Linked DNA regions of Neodiprion lecontei. The protein of the gene in region 1 purifies or fractionates together with the protein of each later gene. This does not show direct contact. Links are inferred from orthologs where the notes say so. Each region holds a gene or a part of one and is shown in the gene's direction. Other genes may lie near its edges.

Region 1 (3,044 bases):
TCGTTTTCAAGAACTTCGACGTGCTTCAATTTTGCCAAAAGTGCGAGTCTTGTAAACCACAATTGGAGAGAGTGTGGAGTGTGTTTGCTGGGATGATTAATCTTCCCATATCCCTGTCCATAAATTGCTAGCAGTCTGCCAGTAAGATTAATCGCCGCTCGGTAACATCCTGTCTGAATCAAATTCCTCAGACCACGTTCGTCCTGCGTTACATCAGAAGCTGTGAGAACGTTGCGATGAATGTTTTCTTCTTCTCCCAGAAAGTGAATCGCAGCCTCCTTAGTCGTATCGGTCAAATCTCCCTGCAACGTCAGTCCGGGCATCGTCAGATTTTCTCTATCAGGAAAATTACTTCCAGGCGTCGACGTTGCTATCGAGGCTAATACTTTTTTGGTTTGATCCGAGGGGATCCAAGCATCTCTATGAATGTCGCTGGCCGTGACATGGTCGGAGACTTGTTCCGCAGCATCTGACAAACTGTTTTCAAGGAAGCTGTTTGACGGGTCTGTCAAGAAGGAGTCAAATACTGGGCGAGGACTCGCAGATGCCGAAGGTTGTTCCAGCATGTCTTGTTTTTCCGGTGGGACAATTTCATCGAATATCGTGTGAGTCGTATTGCTGAAGTAACGCCCGAGCCCAGTATCACCAGATGGTTTTGAGTCGTCAGACAATCCTGCGATATTGTCGCTCAGTTGAAATAGCGAACTTTTATCGGCCATTGCTTGCCACGCTCAAACACAACGTCAATTCTTCAATAATTACTGACTTACAATATCGTGATCACATATTATTTTACTTTTGGTTAGTAGGCTTAAGCTTGAGCACTAGGTTAGTAGTTGAAAGTTAACCTTCACACGACTAGAATGATCACAATCAGCTGTCACTTGTGACTTTACGAGCATGGCTAAATTACTTCAAGTAGTTTTCTAGAGGGTAGACTCTGCGACTAATTTTCAAATTGGATGCCGCAGGTTCGCGACATCGATTTTTCCTCATCATGTTGAAAGTGAATATATAAATATAGATAACTAAAAATAAAAATATCACAAGTGTCGATACAACGGCCGTTAGGTCAAATCTGAAATTGTAAACGCTCATTAGCATAAATAAAACTTGACTTACCGATATGTCGATATTGTGTCGGATGCAAGATGGCGGACTTGCAGCAGAGCGCTGCTATTCGATATTCTGAAGTTCACGAACCTTCGGTCAAATCGTTGACTGCTCACTCACCGTCACTCACTCTACTCACTGCTGCCACAGAAATTTCATCAACATAACCTGAAAGCGCGTAGCCTAAACCCACGTGCGAACTGGTTCCGAAGACATTGCGATATAAATAAATAAATAAATTTAAGAAAATGAGTGATTCTGAAAAGGAGGATGACCGGCCAGTAAATACAGACCCTGTAGACAATGCGTGGGACCTCAAGGTTCCTGCATTCAAGCCGGAACACAACCCACACCGTTTACTAGAGGAAAGTTCGTTCGCAACGTTGTTTCCAAAGTACAGAGAAAAATATTTGAAACAGTGTTGGCCGCTGGTGCAGAAGTCGTTACAGGAACAGGGTATCAAGGCTGAATTAGATCTGATTGAAGGTAGCATGACGGTGAAGACGACACGAACAACTTGGGATCCCTACATAATTATCAAGGCCCGGGACATGATTAAACTGATGTCTAGGTCTGTGCCATACGAACAGGCAGTCAAAGTTCTACAGGACGACATCGGTGCTGATATTATTAAAATATCGTCCTTGGTCAGGAACAAGGAGAAGTTTGTCAAACGAAGACAGCGGCTAATCGGACCCAACGGCTGCACACTGAAGTCAATCGAGCTGTTAACTAAGTGCTATGTTTTGGTTCAAGGGCAAACCGTAGCTGCTCTTGGGCCCTACAAGGGACTGCAGCAGGTGCGACGAATCTGCGAAGATACAATGAAGAACGTGCATCCGATTTACAATATCAAGGCGTTGATGATAAAGCGAGAACTGGCCAAGGATCCTAAGCTGAAAAACGAAAATTGGGAGAGATTTTTACCAAAGTTTAACAGCAAAAATGTTAGCAAAAGAAAACAGCCAAAGAATAAAAAGGCTAAGAAGGAATACACACCGTTTCCTCCGCCGCAGCAAGAAAGTAAAATCGATAAACAGTTGGCATCTGGAGAATTCTTCCTTAAAGAGGAACAGAAACAGGCTAAGAAACGTAAGGAACAGGAGACCAGGCATGAGGAGGCTGCCAAAAAGAGAGTCGAAAGAAGAGCTCAGGCCTTTGTTGCTCCTGAGGAAAATGTTGCAACGAAAAATGTTAGCAAGAAAGGAGATATCAACATCGAGGAGTTTAAGAGAAAAGTTAAAAAAGGTTTTAAAAAACGTAGCGCTGCTCCTTCCTAAACTGTGTATATACTTTTATCATACTAAACTTACAACTTGTGGTACGTTTATTTTTTATAAGATTAAGCCGGGTTGTATTAAAAAAATTTTGTAAATAAATTAACGTAAAGTTTTTGGAAAAAAATCCTTGTTTTTATTAAAAAAAATTTCTCCTATAATCGTTTAGCATACTTTTTTTTGTTCACTTTGTTTCATCTTAATTTACATTCATTTCATTATTATACAATACAAAGTGTGGAATACATGAAACACTAGCGTATGATTTTTTAGCCGGTAGAACTTTATAATTGAATGATAATCCCGACAATTTGATGAGTACGTAGGTTTAAAAAGTTTTTTTTTTTTTTGTTATACAAAGTTCATTTGAAGTACGCCAAATTTTTTTCATTATTGTCAATCTCTAAGTATCGCCGCTCGTTTTTTTTTGTTTCTTTTTTTATTACTACTTCGACCATTTCTCTGTCATTGTGTCATTTTACTCGTACAGGTGTTATTCTTCATTTATAATCCATCCATATTCGTTATTCACAGAAATCAAGTGGTGGGTCTATTTAAATGGACTGGTTACATACACATTATCATTGACTGTTAACTTCCTATGTAACTGAATAATCAATTAATTTATGTCACATTTTATCTTACAGCCTAAAA
Region 2 (3,759 bases), on another chromosome or scaffold:
TACGCCCATCACAGGATCACCTCAAAGTTTTCGACTCGAACTATCAGCCGCACCTATTTCTTCTCCAAAAGACGAGGTTGAAGAAAAACCAATACTGCCGCCAGAAGGTAAACTATAGTCAACTCCAACGAATTTATTATACTGGAGTTGTATTAAATGAAACTGAATTTATTTCAGATTTTAATGCACCGGTGGTGAATTTGGAAGAACACTATGCCCAGCTGCTTCCATGTAAGCTTTGCCATCGCAAGTTTTATCCGTATAGGCTACAAAAACATGAAGCCAGTTGCAAAAAGTTATGAGCAGATGCTGTGTGAGCCTGATATTGTATTTTTACCTATTAAGTTGCACAAGAAATAAACAAATATATTTTTCATTATATTATAATAGGTGCTATATTACAATTAATAATTGCAGCCTCATATTAGTAGATTCGCTTGTAATGTCTAACTGACTTCTTGTTATTAATAGTAATAATATTGTTATTTTATAAACTTATAGCTTTTTTGTCTATCGGTTCTCCATTTCGATCAGTGTCAGTTTCATAAATCCTCATGTATCACCCTAAGTTTGTTCAGTTAAACTTCAACAATAACTAGATGCTTGCACAATACCAGCAATACCTTTCTTTTAGGTGGTACATGTTGAGTTAGGTATATTATTGGCAATCGAGTTATGAATTTTTATTCAATTTTCGCTATGACAAATACTAGTTTTTCTTCAGTTGAAGACACATTTAAACACAGTCGTCTAAAAAACATATCCTATAAAGTGAATGATAAGTCAATTAATTCGCCTATTTTTATCGGCGGTTGTTAAAAAAAACTCATATGTTCTGCGTTGTACTCTACAGTCAAATTCAATTTCACCGCTCTGAGGCAGCCGCCGCGAAGGGAACTGAGGGAGTTCAGTTCATACGTTACTAGGTGATACTGTATACTTAATGCTTGACTGGCTTGATTTTCCTAACTGTACCATGCAGTACCATGCTCGCCATGTGTTTGTCGATGGAGCGTGGGTTATAAATTGAATATATTTGCTAGACTTGCAGTATATTATACAGCATTATTGGGTTATAACGTTCTTGTTGCATAAATACTATTATAAAGAAGTGCTAAATGGTAAGAACGAACAATATTATTCGGCAATTCAATTATAAATTCAATTCTTTTCGTGACATAATCTAACCTCCAAGGCGTCAAATACTTAGAACTTTCCTTACCATTGTTTGAAAATGTTGAGCCTATCATTGCTTTCATATATAAGTGATAAATACATTTACTAATCAGGTATCTCACTGTTTCAACATCCTGGAACCCCACAATCGAATATTCTCTTCGGCAATATTTGTCCTAACCTATAAAATATCTTAGTTTCATTTCATCGTCAATACATTGGGATAAAAATTAATGCCTTGATATTATAGTGTTTGAATAATTGATAATGAGACTGTTATTTCAGGCACCCAAAAAATCTGTGCGTAAAGTAAAACCTGGAAAACGGCCAAATAATGGTTAGTTGAAAATAAATTTTGACTTTTACATTCAATATAATTAATAGAGTTAGTTAATAACTATTAAAGTATAACATTCATGAATTATTAATAAGTAAGCTTAAGTCATACTACTAAAATTTCGGTTATTTTCCAAATGTTCAGGCTTTGCAGAGAAATCTGATAACAGCAATGAAGACATAGTTGTGAATGGGCACGGAGTTAAACGGCATCTGCCTGATGATATTTCAGTGAAACGTGAGTCAAATCTACAATAGTGATATTTTCAGAATTTACAGTGTTGATGTAGTATATACAATGACTGATACGAATTTTCAGAGAAAAAGAAGAAGCCAGCGAAGTTAGAACACACTGAAAACAATGAAGATGAAAGTGATAATGACAGCGGAGAAGAAGAGTTGGAGGAGGAAGCTACGCCGTGCGATGTGGCAAAAATATGTGAGCCTCAAATTTATAACAGAGTATAGGTATATTTTTCTCATCGTTGAAAGTTCCATTTTATGATTTTCAGTACCTGGATCCGCCGTAGGTTTGGAAATAATGAACAATGCTGCGTTCTCATCCCTAAAAGACAAAGTATGTGAGAATACCCTGAAGGCAATTGAAGATATGGGTTTTGCTAACATGACTGAAATTCAAGCCCGATCAATTCCTGCCCTAATTGAAGGACGAGATCTTGTTGGGGCTGCAAAAACAGGCTCTGGAAAAACACTAGCATTTTTAATACCAGCTGTCGAACTCATCTACAAACTAAAGTTCATGCCACGAAATGGTTAGTCTGCAGAAATATATCCAAATACAAATCTTTCAGTAGATAGAAATTGGGAAATTTTTTATTTTAGGCACCGGCTGCATTATAATATCCCCGACACGTGAGTTGTCTATGCAGACCTTTGGCGTTCTCAAGGAGCTCATGAAGCACCATCATCACACTTATGGCTTGCTGATGGGAGGCGCAAATAGGAAAACTGAGGCACAGAAACTTTCTAAGGGTATAAACATCGTGGTAGCTACACCTGGCCGATTGTTGGATCACCTTCAAAACACTCCTGATTTTTTGTATAAAAATCTTCAGTGCCTAATTATCGATGAGGCTGATCGTATACTGGATATTGGTTTCGAAGAAGAATTGAAACAGATTATCAATATTCTGCCCAGTGAGTAGCTTTTCTTTTTATCAGTATTTGCATTGTATAGAATGCTGGATAAAAATCTAATTAGTTGTACAGTTTACATGCATTGCAACTTGGAGAAATTACTCTCATGTGTATTTCTTTTCTAACATTACTTTCTAGGAATATTCTTCAACGTCTTATTTCATCTGAATTTCTCTGTTACAGAAAGAAGACAGACGATGTTATTCAGCGCGACACAGTCTCAGAAAACGGAAGCTTTGACTACCTTAGCTCTCAAAAAAGAGCCGATATATGTGGGGGTGGATGACGAAAAAGAAAAGGCAACCGTCGAGGGTTTGGAACAAGGTTATGTTGTGTGTCCAAGTGAGAAACGTTTTCTGCTTCTGTTTACCTTCCTTAAGAAGAATCGGAAGAAGAAGGTTATGGTATTCTTCAGCTCCTGCATGTCCGTCAAATATTACCATGAACTATTGAATTATATCGACCTACCGGTGATGAGCATACACGTAAGTACGCTCTGCAATTTTATTTCCTGCACAATATATTCCTTTATTCATCACCCAGCCTCATATAGATTCTTTTATTACTCTCTTTTAGGGAAAGCAAAAGCAAACTAAACGCACCACAACGTTCTTCCAATTTTGTAACGCATCCACTGGTATTCTTCTATGTACCGACGTTGCAGCTCGTGGTCTTGACATTCCTGATGTTGATTGGATCGTGCAATATGATCCGCCGGATGATCCTAAGGTACAATTTGCATTCTCAGATTTACGCAGAAACTATCAGACAATCAGTTACATTTTTTTATGCTTGTATTGTTCTCTTCTCTTCAGGAATATATACACAGAGTTGGAAGAACAGCACGTGGAGAAGGCAGCAGTGGTCACGCCTTGATGGTTTTGCGACCAGAAGAATTAGGATTTCTGCGTTACCTGAAGCAGGCACGAATTCCCGTTAATGAATTCGAGTTCTCGTGGAACAAGATCGCCGATATACAGTTACAAGTGAGTATTACTTATTGATTAACAAATCGAATACTTTATATAGATGTTTATATCTGCTTACCAATGAGCGATGAGTTAGCATCGCTCGAAATGTATCCAGAAT
Region 3 (3,759 bases), on another chromosome or scaffold:
TATTGTACAATAGATTGTAAGTAGTTCCAATATTGAGAGTGGATATAAAGAATTTGTATTCCTTCTTTCAATATTGCCTGACCACGATTGTATAATATTTATCACGTTACGTAATAAATGTAAGAAATAAGGAAAAGAAAACGAAATAGAACTGCTGCACAGGACATCAGGGCAGTGAAAAAAAATCGAAGCATCACTTCTTAAAACGTAGAAATAACGAAAATAATAATGATAAATAAAACTGAATGAAAATTATATACATAGTTACCTATAAGAAAAAGGGACGAAAGAGTCTTGTATTGTATTAAATTCGTTATTATTGGATTTCAAGAGTTCACCTTCGCTTGTTATATCTAAATAATTACCAATTATTGTTAAATATTAGTTACTATGAATCACGTATGTACATTATTATACAATATACGGGAAAAAATATCGTAACATGTATTTGTAATCAATCCTTTCGTTAAAAATGATTCACTCAATGCAAATAACTTTTTTTTTAAACTAAAGTAGTTGGTATTTCGAGCAAGACGTATTTATAATTATATGCATACATAAATAGTTTGAAGATAAACCCTAGAAATAGCAAATGAATTCCTGTTAACAGAGATTCTCTGTAGAATAGTAAATAGATAAGACAAACTGTTACTTCTCCGTTGATTCATCCACCACGATTTATCTGTCAGAGATACCTACTCTCATTGATATAGTTTATACGATATCAGTGCCTATTCTCTTTGCTTTCTGCTGCGGAGTTTGTGTTTATTTACGCCCGACGCCCTTTGGAGGATATACATGTAGAAACATCACTGCTTGTTTAGTTGCATGCCAGTGATCACAGACTGTGTCAGTGATATAGGTATATGCTTTGATTGAAGCCATGTGAGGCGAATGTGAAAACCATGGTGGGAGAACCTACGTTCTTCTGTGTTGTCACGTGGTACCTGGAGTACAAACGAGTCGTGTAATTGGTTAAAATTCGTGGTAAAAATCTTGAATGCGGATGCTTGCCGCTTGGCACAGATTATAGAATGAAAGTTTGCTGTACCGTCAACACGTGAGGAGAGCCTGAGTTCGTTTTAATGAATGATTTATTTAATAGCAACCATTCTGATTCGGATTCGGAATTGAAGATAAATTCGAGTTACGCGCAAAACTACAACAATTGGAGACAGAAAGAGGAACTGAACAAATGTAAATATTACCTGCTAAGTTGAAACGCGGTTAACCTCAAACGTCGTTAACCTCAAAATACGATTTCTACATAAATATATGTGTGCTTAATTTTATAGTGAAAACAAAGTATGGTGAACACATCAAAGATCTTCATACCTCAGACGAGGATTCCAGCACCTCGGAGGAGGAGGATGAAGATGGAAAAGTAATAGTTGGCAATTTATTATACAATGTGTTCATTTCAGTATGACTGCTTAGTTTTTTCTTTTCGTTGTATTTTGATTAATAATAATATTTCTTCAAGGAATTGACTGAGGCATTCGAGAAAAACTTTTACAAAACCTTGGCATGCTTAAAAAATAAAGATCCTCGAATTTACGATGAACAAGTTACTTTCTTCGATGACATCGAACAGTTGGAGGACACCTCCAAAGCGACGATTAAAGAGAAAGCTAAAAATAAGCCACTGTTCTTGAGAGACTATGAACGGAAAGTTATGCTCGAACGAGATGGTAAATTTAGCGACAGCGAAGATGAAGATACTCTCCAGCAAGAGAATAATCAACCTTTAGCTCCCACTTACGTGAAAGAGCAGCTCAAGCTGAAGGAAAGTTTTAAAAAGATCTTGGAGGAGGATGAAGATGATGAGACAGCTGATCTTCTCAAGCCAAAAACAAAATCTGACGAAGATGAAAAAAAGGTTTGTTTCTGTCGGGTATAGAATTGTCAATCAACATTGAATGGGTAGTGTCATTGTGTTAAATTTGTTGTCTTATTTAGGAGGAAGAAGCTTACAAAGAATGGCTGAAAGGTCAGCATACAGAAATCGATGGGGTGGATAAGAAAGAATTAAAACCTCTACGAGATTTTTGGACTGATCCAAAACTAGATCAGAATGAGAAATTTCTTAGAGATTATATATTGAATAAGAAATTTTTGGATCAAGACTTTAATGATTTCAACCCGGAATATGATTTGGTGGTTCATGATAGCGATGAGAATTTGAGTGAAGATGAGAAGAATATTGAAATACAGGAAGAATTCGAGCACAAATATAATTTTCGATTCGAAGAGCCTGATCAAGAATTTATAAAGAGGTGAAAATTGCTGACATTCCAAATTGTAGATGTCAGCACAAATTTTGTAACATTGGTAATGACTTTAAATTACATTCTAATTCTAGATATCCTCGCACGCTTGAAAATTCCATGAGACGTAAAGACACACGGCGTGCTGAGAAGAGGGTCGAATTAAAAAAGAGAAAAGAGGAAGAAGCTGTTCGAAAACGTGAAGAACTAAAACAATTGAAAGCTCTCAAAAGAAAGGAGATTGAAGAGAAGATCGAGAAGTTGAAAGAAATTACTGGTAGATGACGCTTTTATAGAGTTGTTATAAAATTTGAACACCAAAACTTGTTTCGAAATAGTAATGCCCCTAAAAATTCATCAGTATAATTTTTACATAATTTTATACTTGGTCGAGAATCTTGGGAGAATTCTAACAAACTTTTGAAAGTGAAACTTTGCAACATACTGGTGTTCAAATTATCTGCATAAATATGTTGCTTTCATGGTTGAAGAACGAACAATAATTTTATTGTTCCCAGGTAACGACGATATACACTTTAATGAAATTGATTTGGATGGAGATTTTGATCCAGCCGAGCATGATCGTAAGATGCAGGCTATGTTCAGTGACGAATTTTATGCTGCGCCCGAAGGCGATCTGAAACCGGAATTTCCAGACATTGATGAAGAGCTAGATATTGAAACAACCTGGGATAAGTATGATCCAAAACAAGAGGAAGTAATACCGGAGACCAAGCGTAATAATGGACCACACTGCGATGACCCAGATTTCAATGTAATCCTCATTGTCCTTTATTTAGTCTTCCTAGATTAGATAGGTGTGAATATAATATGCTATTTCAGATGGATGCAGATTACGATCCAACCAAGACACTGCAGGAAGAATTGATCGATTCTTCTCGAAAAAAGAAGAGAAGAAGACGTAACAAATTGGCTGTGGCAGTTGCTAAGGAGAAGCCCACTTTCGATCCAACTGGAAATCCGTCTTATCAAGCTTATTTAGATCAATATTACGCTTTGGATTATGAAGACATGATCGGTGATCAGCCTTGCAGATTTAAATACAGAAACGTTGTCGCGAATGATTATGGGCTAACTATAGACGAAGTGAGTTGTTTTGAACAATTAAAATTCAGTATTGCTTGAGCTATTTGTTTTAAACTGAGTCAATCCTCAAAACGAGAAAAACCAAGTATCACGTAATAATACAGGACTTTGTTGCAGATCATTATGGCTGATGATAAAGAATTGAACAAATGGTGTTCGCTGAAAAAAGCGCTTCAATACAGACCTGAATATCTCGAGTTGAATGACGTTACATCTTACCAACAAAAAGCTCGTAATGAAGTGTTAAAAAAGAAGATATTCAAAAGCATATATGGGTATGCATTCTTTTTATATATTTATTCATCCCAGGGTAACAGAATTTTAGTTGATTAATAATAATCTTTTTTAATAATCTTGTATGCTTGGCCCATGTACTCATATTCGT

Evidence for each region.
Region 2: the proteins of KRR1 small subunit processome component homolog (region 1) and probable ATP-dependent RNA helicase pitchoune purify together in Homo sapiens (affinity purification with mass spectrometry; 3 studies listed by BioGRID and IntAct, with this or other methods). This does not show direct contact. The link is inferred for Neodiprion lecontei from reciprocal best matches to the Homo sapiens genes KRR1 and DDX18.
Region 3: the proteins of KRR1 small subunit processome component homolog (region 1) and protein KRI1 homolog purify together in Homo sapiens (affinity purification with mass spectrometry; 3 studies listed by BioGRID and IntAct, with this or other methods). This does not show direct contact. The link is inferred for Neodiprion lecontei from reciprocal best matches to the Homo sapiens genes KRR1 and KRI1.

What each region holds. Positions count from the first base shown.
Region 1 is NC_060262.1:40,403,537-40,406,580, reverse strand, and holds KRR1 small subunit processome component homolog, read left to right. Parts: upstream 1-1,234; 5' UTR 1,235-1,361; coding exon 1,362-2,393; 3' UTR 2,394-2,479; downstream 2,480-3,044. Other genes in the region: trafficking protein particle complex subunit 12, read right to left, coding at 1-719. UniProt on the Homo sapiens protein: Part of the small subunit (SSU) processome, first precursor of the small eukaryotic ribosomal subunit.
Region 2 is NC_060260.1:4,906,812-4,910,570, forward strand, and holds the start of probable ATP-dependent RNA helicase pitchoune, read left to right. Parts: upstream 1-967; 5' UTR 968-1,118; coding exon 1,119-1,121; intron 1,122-1,461; coding exon 1,462-1,513; intron 1,514-1,657; coding exon 1,658-1,750; intron 1,751-1,831; coding exon 1,832-1,951; intron 1,952-2,024; coding exon 2,025-2,285; intron 2,286-2,355; coding exon 2,356-2,670; intron 2,671-2,853; coding exon 2,854-3,155; intron 3,156-3,246; coding exon 3,247-3,399; intron 3,400-3,446; exon of another isoform or gene 3,447-3,485; coding exon 3,486-3,656; intron 3,657-3,717; exon of another isoform or gene 3,718-3,759. Other genes in the region: uncharacterized protein LOC107226345, read left to right, coding at 1-107, 178-302. UniProt on the Homo sapiens protein: ATP-dependent RNA helicase that plays a role in the regulation of R-loop homeostasis in both endogenous R-loop-prone regions and at sites of DNA damage.
Region 3 is NC_060260.1:30,354,096-30,357,854, reverse strand, and holds the start of protein KRI1 homolog, read left to right. Parts: upstream 1-830; 5' UTR 831-1,085; coding exon 1,086-1,197; intron 1,198-1,295; coding exon 1,296-1,384; intron 1,385-1,483; coding exon 1,484-1,879; intron 1,880-1,959; coding exon 1,960-2,276; intron 2,277-2,362; coding exon 2,363-2,544; intron 2,545-2,785; coding exon 2,786-3,042; intron 3,043-3,110; coding exon 3,111-3,374; intron 3,375-3,491; coding exon 3,492-3,649; intron 3,650-3,759.